Linked DNA regions of Sus scrofa. The protein of the gene in region 2 purifies or fractionates together with the protein of the main gene of each other region. This does not show direct contact. Links are inferred from orthologs where the notes say so. Each region holds a gene or a part of one and is shown on either strand. Other genes may lie near its edges.

Evidence for each region. The genes of interacting proteins can lie anywhere in the genome.
Region 1: the proteins of FAM174A (region 2) and SLC39A7 purify together in Homo sapiens (co-immunoprecipitation; 3 studies listed by BioGRID and IntAct, with this or other methods). This does not show direct contact. The link is inferred for Sus scrofa from reciprocal best matches to the Homo sapiens genes FAM174A and SLC39A7.

Annotation. Positions count from the first base shown.
Region 1 is NC_010449.5:25,241,504-25,246,242, reverse strand, and holds the start of SLC39A7 (zinc transporter SLC39A7), read right to left. Parts: upstream 3,382-4,739; 5' UTR 3,128-3,381; exon of another isoform or gene 2,818-3,127; 5' UTR 2,814-2,817; coding exon 2,403-2,813; intron 2,315-2,402; coding exon 2,146-2,314; intron 1,999-2,145; coding exon 1,945-1,998; intron 1,813-1,944; coding exon 1,648-1,812; intron 1,498-1,647; coding exon 1,357-1,497; intron 1,151-1,356; coding exon 954-1,150; intron 1-953. Other genes in the region: RXRB (retinoic acid receptor RXR-beta), read left to right, coding at 3,589-3,820, 4,499-4,739. UniProt on the Homo sapiens protein: Transports Zn(2+) from the endoplasmic reticulum (ER)/Golgi apparatus to the cytosol, playing an essential role in the regulation of cytosolic zinc levels.
Region 2 is NC_010444.4:106,553,495-106,558,500, reverse strand, and holds the start of FAM174A (membrane protein FAM174A), read right to left. Parts: upstream 3,260-5,006; 5' UTR 3,014-3,259; coding exon 2,577-3,013; intron 1-2,576.

The DNA.
Region 1 (4,739 bases), on a different chromosome or scaffold from region 2:
CAGACGCGGCTCGGATCCCGCGTTGCTGTGGCTCTGGCATGGGCCTGTGGCTGCAGCTCGGATTCAACCCCTAGCCTGGGAACCTCCATATGCCGTGGGAGCGGCCCAGGAAATAGCAACAACAACAACAACAAAAAGACAAAAGACAAAAAAAAAAAAGAAATACTGAGCTACAAGACGAAATAGAACTTTTCATCCCTCATTTATAGAAGTTCGGTTGCCAACAATACTTCAGAGATGCTGAGTTCAGTTCCAGAACACCACGATAAAGTAAATATCACAAAAGTGAATATCACGATAAAGCAAGTTATGTGAGTTTTTTCGGCTTCCAGTGCATATAAGTTATATTTACACTATACTGCAGTCTAGTAAGTGTGCAGCAGCATTATGTCCACCATATACACAGCTTAATTAAAAATTACTTTATGGAATTTCTGCTGTGGCACAGTGGGTTAAGAATCTGACTGTAGCAGCTTGGGTCGCCGCAAAGGTAAGGGTTCGATCCCCAGCCTGGGAACTACCATTGCCACGGCCGCAGCCATTAAAGAAAAAAAAAAAAAAGAAGGTACTAAAAAATTCTAATCTTCATCTGAGCTTTCAACAAGTTACAATCTTTTTGCCGTTATGACATCAAAGATCACTGATCACAGATGAACATACCAAATGAGATAAAAATGAAAAGGTTTGAAATATTGCAAGAATTACCAAACTGTGACACAGAGACATGAAATGAATAAGTGCTGATGGAAAAAAATGGCGTCAACAGACTTATTCAACACAGGGTTGTCACAAGTTTGTAAAAAACACAATATCTGTTAAGTACAATAAAGAAGCACAATCAAACTAGGTAGGCCTGTAGTACAACTTGCTTGGAACTAATGGGTGGCAGTCTGAGTTTGGGCTGGGTGAGCAGGGGGTAAAGGGCTTGAGACAACCATGTCTGGTACACCAACCTGCTTTTTGCTGCAGCCAGACTGGACCAAGATGGCAAAGTCCCCCACTTCATGGGGCACTTCATGTAGCAGCACAGTCATCGTGGTCAGGATCCCGAGCCCCCGACCTCCTCGAAATGAAGCACCAATAGCTAGACCATCCGTGAAGTTGTGTGCCAGGTCAGCAGCCAGATTCAGATACCCTGACACACGCAAGTCTTGTACAGGAGAAAAGAAAGATGAAACAATCAGAGGCACTCCTCAACCCTAGTCCGAACCCTAGTCAGCCATTATCACATCTCCCCCAAGAGACCACTTCATGCCCAGCCCCAGTGTTTCCAGACACCTGCCATTACCCACAGCCCTTTTCCATGTAACTCGTGATGATGCCCCTTGTCCAAGTGTATGCAACCCTGGCCCTCACCTGACCCTGCTTTTTCCTCTCCAGAATGCTGAGGTCTCACTGGCCCATCTTTGGGCCTTGTGCTCCCTCCTCTTCTCTTCCTCGATGCCCCTGCTTCCTTTTCTTCTTCCTCTGAGCTCTGCTTTTCCTTTGAAGGACACTCTGAGGGGAAAAGAGGAGCTGGTAAGAGTGGGGAATGGAGACCTACCAATATGTCCTCAAAAGGGGAGTCCCCTCCCACCCAGGAGCCATAAAATGAGCAGATTCAGAGGTAGGCAAGACGGTTTTCATTAAAGTATTTCCTAGGCTCACCCTGTCTTCCATGTCCATGACCTCCATGCGTGTGACCGTGAGCATGTCCATGTCCGTGACTGTGTTCATGTCCTCCTTTCACGTGTCTCACAAATTTCTCCACCACAAGAAAGGCGACAATTCCACTGAGGACCCACAGTCCCACAGACAGAATGGGGCCCTGGCCTGGGGATGGACACATTGAGACATTAAGAGAAATATAGATTCCAGACTCTTCCTCCCCAAGTAGAGGAGAACAGGGAGGGACAGACCTTCCCTAGCACCCCAAACCATTATCTCCATCCTCCCCTTCCTTACCACTGTGGGAATGTCCGTGTCCGGGCTGCTCCAGAGGGTGGTGAGAATGGGGTTCTGGAAGAAGTGGGGGAAAAGGTTAGATAAGGGAATATCCCACACAAAAGGTGTGTATTGGGGGGACACTAGAAGGTCAGGGATCACAAAGAGGAAAGAACCCTCTCATTCAAAGAATAAAACACTCTAAGATTTGAGGTCACTTACCCAGAGCATGAGGAATGAGGTGCAGGAAGGCATCTCCCAAGAGCCCACCCGAAGCAAAACTCAGCAGGATCTGGAGCAGAGAGCGGTGCCGAGGTGAGTTGGACTCCACCGGGATAAGGAAGAGGACGAAAAATGGAGCTGCAGAGATGAGCACTGTGGCCCCTAGTGCCTAGTGAGGGAAAGTCAGGGGTCAAGAGGTGTGGGACTTCCCAACAATCCAGAACTCGCCCCCCTCTGCCCCATCCCGGGGGACTCACATAGGCCCAGAGAGTGACAGTGTCCAAGTCCTGCTTGATGCCTGGAGCCCCAGATTCCCCATAGCCTCCATGGCTGTGCTCATGGTCATGTCCGTGTCCTGGGTGGTAGAGGCTCTCATGGGAGTCGCCATGAATATGGCCATGGTGCAAATCCTCATGTGAATGTCCATGATCGTGACCGTGGGTATGCCCATGCCAGATGCTCTCATGAGTATGGCCATGGCCATGGGCATGGCTGTGTCCATGGTGGAAATCCTCATGTGAATGCCTGTGGCTGTGGCCATGCAAGTCCTCCTGCAGGTCTTCGTACAGGTCGCCATGACCCCCGTGTCCGGCCACTAGCAGCCCCAAGGCTGCCCACGTCAGCAGTCCCACGGCCACCCTGTGGGGGGCCCCCAGGCCTCTGGCCATCACGCTGACCAGAGGGACACAGACAATGACTCCACTTGACCCTCAACTGTATACCTATACAGGGTCCGCTTTACTCCGATAGCGCCCTCTGTCCACGTCTATGGACCGCTTCCCCGTCCCATTCTGTCCCCACCCACATTGTCCCCAAGATTCGTTTTCTTTATCCCGAACCCCTTCCCGGATGTAGGGCCCCCGGGATACCGCTCTAGGCTTTGATCCTCCACTCTTGGACTCTCTGGGCCCTCGTCTCTATGGCCCACTAGTTGAGAAAAAAGGCTTGGAAAGGACAGCAGAGAAAAGCGGGCTATTCTCACCGGCTCCGGGATCCTCTCCTTTCCCGGTTTGCTCGGACGTGGCAGTCCCACCTCCAGCTCCCGCGAGAACAGGGAATTCGGTTCTACCTTGGTCCCAATACTTTACCAATATGGCCGCATCCCGGTAGCTATGAAGCGCGCCTGTCCTGGCGCGCACGCGCGAGTGTGGAGGTTATTTGAGGGGATGCTGGGCGAGGCCGCTTAACAGGCTGGAGGAGACCGCCTCCTCGGTTTCCAACTAGACGAGGGGGCGGGAACTAGCGCGGAGACTTCCCGTCTATACCAAGATGGCTGCCACATCGGCGCTGTCATTTGGGTACAGAGCAGAGCGAAGCGCTTAATTTGACTCGGTTCAGGCCAAAGTCTTTTTCTCTGGGGCTTCCTCGTGCTAGCCGAATTCCCCGATCAGTTCTTGAGAATCCCTGGTACCCTCTCGGCATCCCTACACTCAGCCAGGAATCATGTCTTGGGCGGCTCGCCCGCCCTTCCTCCCCCAGCGGCATGCCGCAGGGCAGTGTGGGCCGGTGGGGGTGCGAAAAGAAATGCATTGTGGGGTCGCGTCCCGGTGGCGGCGGCGGCGGCCCTGGCTGGATCCCGCAGCGGCGGCGGCGGCAGCGGCAGCCGGAGAACAACAAACCCCGGAGCCGGAGCCGGGGCAGGCTGGACGGGACGGGATGGGCGACAGCGGGCGGGGTGAGTGTCCTAACAGACGGACAGGCAAGGCAGTGACCGCGTTATCAGCAGCCCCTACCCCCCCTCCCCTGATGCTCTTTCCCAGGCGCTCCCGCCCCCTTGTTTGTAAACACGCGTCCCCTCCCTCCCGAGGGCCTTAGCGCCCTCCCCCCGGGGCGGGGCGGGGAAGGGGAGCTTCCGCCGTCCGAGGGGTGGCCGGCCGCTTGAGGCCTTACACTCCTGAGATCCCAGGAGTGGGACAGTAGACCTTGAGCTTGAGGATTCTGGACGTTTGAAGGCAGATTCTGCGTCCTAGGAGGGGTCTCTTCCGCCTGTCTCTTTTCCCTGCTTGGTTTGGCTCCAAACTGGGAATGGAGGTGCTGACTGGTCCACACCACGTGCTGCCCCACCCACACGAGATGCCCCAGGCCTGGGGTGACCAAATGCATTGCTTGGAACGTGCCTCACCTGAACTGTCCTCTTCTTTGGCAACCCCTTCCTCTCACCACAGTTAGGAGTTAAGCCGTTGTTTGACAGCAGGGTACCTCTGAACTTAGGAAGGGGTGGGTGGGGTGGGGTGGGGTGGGGGTGCGGTGGGGGATCAGAGAAAGAATTAAAAGTCTCCGGTTGGATGATCGAAGACTCATTTTCTCTTTTTGTCTCTCCTGTCTGTGTCTGCCTGTGTGTACCCCTCCCCAGACTCCCGAAGCCCAGACAGTTCCTCCCCAAATCCCCTTCCCCAGGGGGCCGCTCCCCCTTCTCCTCCTGGGCCACCCCTACCACCTTCAGCAGCTGCATCCCTTGGAGGCTCTGGGGCCCCACCCCCACCCCCGATGCCACCCCCCCCACTGGGCTCCCCCTTTCCAGTCATCAGCTCTTCCATGGGGTCCCCTGGTCTGCCCCCTCCAGCTCCCCCAGGATTCTCCGGGCCTGTCAGCAG
Region 2 (5,006 bases):
TGGTAACTCACTAACATGGTGTGTTAACAGCCAAATTCTGAACCAATGGGTGAGAAAAACTGGACTCTAACTAGCATCTAATACATTCATTCAGTCCAAGTCCTAAATTCAGTTGGCCACCTGATGTCCAAAGCTTGATTGATGCTAACAATGTGTGGGCAGTGTTTAGAAATTAGACTTTTTGCTTGCTGATTTTAGGATGAAAATCATTCATTTTGGTGAATGCCCACTTTGACACCCCCCCTTCCAAAATATGTGTGATGGCACACCAGAATCATTTATTTGTTCCAAGAGGGAAGAATGGACTAAAATCATTTCATTAAATGACATGAGAAAACACCAAGAATATCTCACTTGTAAAATGCTTGAACTCCATGAAACATCCATATTGTTTTGTTTTACTCTAATTCAGTTATAACAAATATGTAACTAGAAATAACTTGGGAAATATTCCAAACAGCAATTAGATCACCTCTGTAGAAACTGGAAAATATATAGAAGGAACCAAGTAGGCTTTCTAAGATTAATATATAGTCTTTATGAGAAAAGACTCATTGTCCGTCTTATTCTCTACTATATTCCCAGTATAGAACAATGTACAAAATATGGTAGATGTTGAGAACTATGTCTAGATACTCATGTTGCAACAGAAGAAAGGGTGGGGGAAAAACTGTAATTGTAATGTATACATGTAAGGATAACCTGACCCCCTTGCTGTACAGTGGGAAAAAAAAAAATATGGTAGATACTGGTGTTTTTTCTTTTTTGATAGTAATAGCAAAACTCAACATGAGGTGGTTTCTTAAAAGTTAGTCGCACTGTGGAATTTGAAACTACATCAATGAATTTGAACCTATAAACCTATAAGAGAATATATTACTTTGAAAATAATTCTTACAGATCCCAGGAAGAGGGCTCAGAGAGCCCTCATACCCTCCAGGGTTCCCTGGACCACATGTCAAGAACCACTGGTTTACATAGTACTTTTAAAATTAGTTATTTAAGCCAAGGGATGTTGGTTTTCCTTTCACAAGATAATAAATAGATGTTTAAAATGAAACTTTCAATTTAAATCTATTTTAAAATATATATGAAATAGTACAGGTAGGCAATCATATTAAAAAATGTGAATTATTTTCTAAAACAATAAACCTCTGCATTCCTGTAAACCTACACTCTATAAAGGAGGAAACTAGACAATGTTTCCTCAGCTCTTCTCTTGGTTGGGTCTTCTAACACTGAGGTCTTGACTTCGCATGTCAACCCTTCAAAAAGGTGGTCCCCAATTAACCTAAAGAGGCTTTATAATAGATTTTCCAAATCAGTCTTATTACATAGAATATTTTAAAATGATTGGTGCCATAATATAACTTCACTTCAGTAACAATGGAATGTGTCAAGTAGAGCTGCTTATAACAATAACAATATCACTAATAGGAATTTTTAATTCCTTTTCTACTTGATAAGGCATTAAGGGGAGTAGAAAAATAAGTGACAGTCATCTACATTTATTCATAACCTGGTACAACATAATAACCTGGTTTACTTAATCAAAAGGTTGATCATAGGTTAAGATATAGAAACTGTGCTAATGGAAAAAAAAAATTCAAACAAAGCAAACAGTGGATTGTACAATCACAGAAGATTATTAGATCCCTCAGGACACCAGTTAAATCACTTTACCCTTCTGGGTCAGTTTCATCATATGTAAAGTGAAAGATGTCATTAAGTGTCCATATCTGTATGGAATCTGAAATTCAGATAATTCTACAATCTAACATTCTGTAGTAGGAATAGGCTCAAAAATACTCATTTTGAAAATTAAACTTCTGAATGATTTGGGATTGCTATTTATAGATGACTTCATTTTAGAAAGGTTTTTTTGTGTGTGAAATATCAAATTTACTAATTTGATTTACTAATTCAAATTTTTGTAAATTTAAAATCAGATATACTTAGTTTTGTTAGGATATTAAGCATACGTTCCAATATTAAAACTAGATCATATTTATGACATTTTTTTCCCCTTTGATGCATAGGTAACAGTTTTCCATCTTATCATGCAACTAGTAACACTTCGCTTTGGATTACTTTGTGGCATGCAAAATGAATACCTAGATGTTTCTAATAGTGACTATGACAAAGTCATATCAGTGACTATTAGTCACTATTAGTGACTGTCATACCAAATTTTCACTTTCCCAGATCAAAAAAGGTGGAATGTATAAAACTTCATATGGTACAAGAAAATTATTAAGGTGACGGATTAAAAGCCAACACTAAGAAACTGCTGCTAAAAGAACTTTTCTTCTTTTACATTTTATAAAATACTATAATAAGATCATTCCGTATTACCATTCAGTTACTCATATAAATATTGATTTAGAAATTGGGTACTAATTTATAATTTATAAATGAAAGAGAGAAACACTTGGTGGTCTAAATTCTCCCAAAGGTACCACAGGTTTTTAAGACAGTTATCACAGGTCTGCACCCATGATACTGGGGGCGGGGAGAGGGCAATGCCAGGTCACTCACTGGGCCTGCAAAGGAGGCTCATCGAGGCTTCGCCTCACCTGACCGTCCTGACGACGAAGTACACCAGCACCGCACCACTCACCACCATCAACACGGTCAGGGCCCGCTGGGTCATGGGCTTGTCGCTGGGGTTAGGGCTCACAGCAAGGACGCCACCCACTGAGCCTTCTTCCCCCGCCTTCCCGCCTGGGTCGGCAGCAAGCTCCGCCCCAGGAAAGCTGCCATTGCCGCCCTCTGCGCCCCGTGGTCCTGTGGCTTCGGCCTGAGCGCGGCCTGGGGACTGGGGAGCTGTGGGGCCAGGTGGCAGAGGTTGCAGGGTCCTCGGCCCACGGTCTGGAGGCCCGGGATCCTGCGCGGCCTCAGCCGCCTGCAGCAGCACCGCCAAAGGCCCTCTCAACTCTGGCAGTAGTAGCAACAGCAGGAGGGCGGAGGCGAGGAGGTGGCTGAGGCAGCAGCGATAGTGCGTTGCCTTCATCGTCCCCGGACGGCCCTCTCACCACGTGGGAGCTTCGGGGCCCACCGCCCTGGCTCCAGGTGGGACCATGGGAGCAGCGAAGAACGAAGAAAGGGTGACCAAATCCCGGGCTAAGGCCCGCCGCAGCAGGTGGCACAGGCGGCAGCTGCTGCAGCTGCCGGGAGAACCGGAAGTTCGTACATCTCAGCAGCCCTGCTACTAGGGACGCTTTCGGTTGCTAACATGCCAGGGACGGCGCCTTTAGTGACGTCAGGCGCGCAAGGCCACTAGCGCAGGCACCCTGCCTGCGGGCCAGGGGAAACCCTCTGTGGTTGGTTCCCTAGTAACAAAGTAAACAAAAGAGAGTAGTGTAAAATGTGCAGCAACACTTTGCATGAAAATACTTTAAGAGATTGGAAGCTCCTAATTTGAGTTCGTTTGTGCAAAACTGCAGATATGCAGCTTATTGTTTATTAAGACCGCTTTGACGTTTCCCTCAGCTCAGGTACAAATTTTATACGGCTTTCTTCCTTAGAGCATTGATGTTAGAAAACTTGTAACTGTGCATTTATTTTCTGTGTTTTTGAAATATAAATCTTTAAAACGGTATTGGTGGTGTTAATATCCAGGGCTCTTTATTAAAGAATTAGGAGCCATCCTTTTGAAATGTCAACAAAGATAGCACTAGCTCCCAGTCTCTGTGGAAGGGTAGGAGCCTAATTTAGGGGGGCACCTTGTTCAGAGTTGTAGAACTATCTCCTGTCAGGAAGCTGAAAGAAAAATTTACTTTTCTCTTGGGTAATTTCATTTAGTAATCATAATTGGCCTGAGGTGCTCCCTGTTCTTAAATCTCTTAAGTTTTTTGTTACTTTTTGGTGAGTTGAGATCAGAGTCCTGGCCTCTCTCCTCTGTTGCAATAATGTTGAATAAAGTTTTCTTTGCCTGTTTAACGTTGACATCAGTGACGTGGAACTTTGATTTGAGCAGATGCAAACATACAAACAAAACACCAGACCAGAAGTTGAAGTTAGTATTTGTTTTTTAAAAAAATTATTCATTTAGCATTGTTCAGATATTTCACTCCTTGCTTAGCACTGTGTCTGAGTACTGAATAGTAGAGGAGTAGGACATGGTCCTTGCTCTTATAGCACTTAGGTTCAAATGGAGATAACACAATGAACAGTTGCATTCATTCTGAATTTGGAAGTGTGTCGTAAATAACAGGTATAGAATCTACAATAAAATTTTTCTAAAGGATTTTTGTAGATAAGGTGGACAGGATAGTGTCTTCTGCCTGCTTCAGGGTGACAGAGTAATGCAGTTGCTTCTGCAGTGTAGAATTACAAGGCCTCGGTGTCTTAATGCTGGGTTCTAGTGTGAGGAAATCCATTGGTGACACACCCCAATTTTAGCTTCCTACCTGGGCATTTTCAGTAATGAGGTGGCTCCTTGGGTTTCCTGTCTCCTTTATTAACAACCTTATTCAAAGCCATACATGGAATAGGGTTAGTATGTAATGCCACTTCCTTCTACTTCTCAAAAAAGTCCAGTAATTAACTCATTGAAAGCCAAAAAAAAAAAAAAAAAAAAAAGTGCATCATCTTTCCTTTCTTACAATTTCTCATTTTACTGTTGTGTTCCTCATCTTGATTAATGGCATTATTCTTCATTCAGGTGTTAAGGCATAAAATCTTGGAGTCATCCTTTACCTTTGCTTCCCACCTGCAACAATCCTTGTCAGTAACTGAGCCATGCAAAGCGCCAAATAATTCTGAAGTAGCAAAATCAAACTAATGGTTCCAAATTAATTAGAACATATCATGTTCTAGTTTTTCTCCAAATGTGACTCTTAGCTATTCAGAATCAGAAATGTGATTTGTTAAAAATGCAGATTGTAGGTCACTATTCCAGAAATCCTGAGCCAGAATTTTTGGGACTGGGGACGTGGACTCTGTATGCATTTTATTAAGCTAACAGGATGATTTTTAATTGCATTAAGGTTTAAGAATCTCTG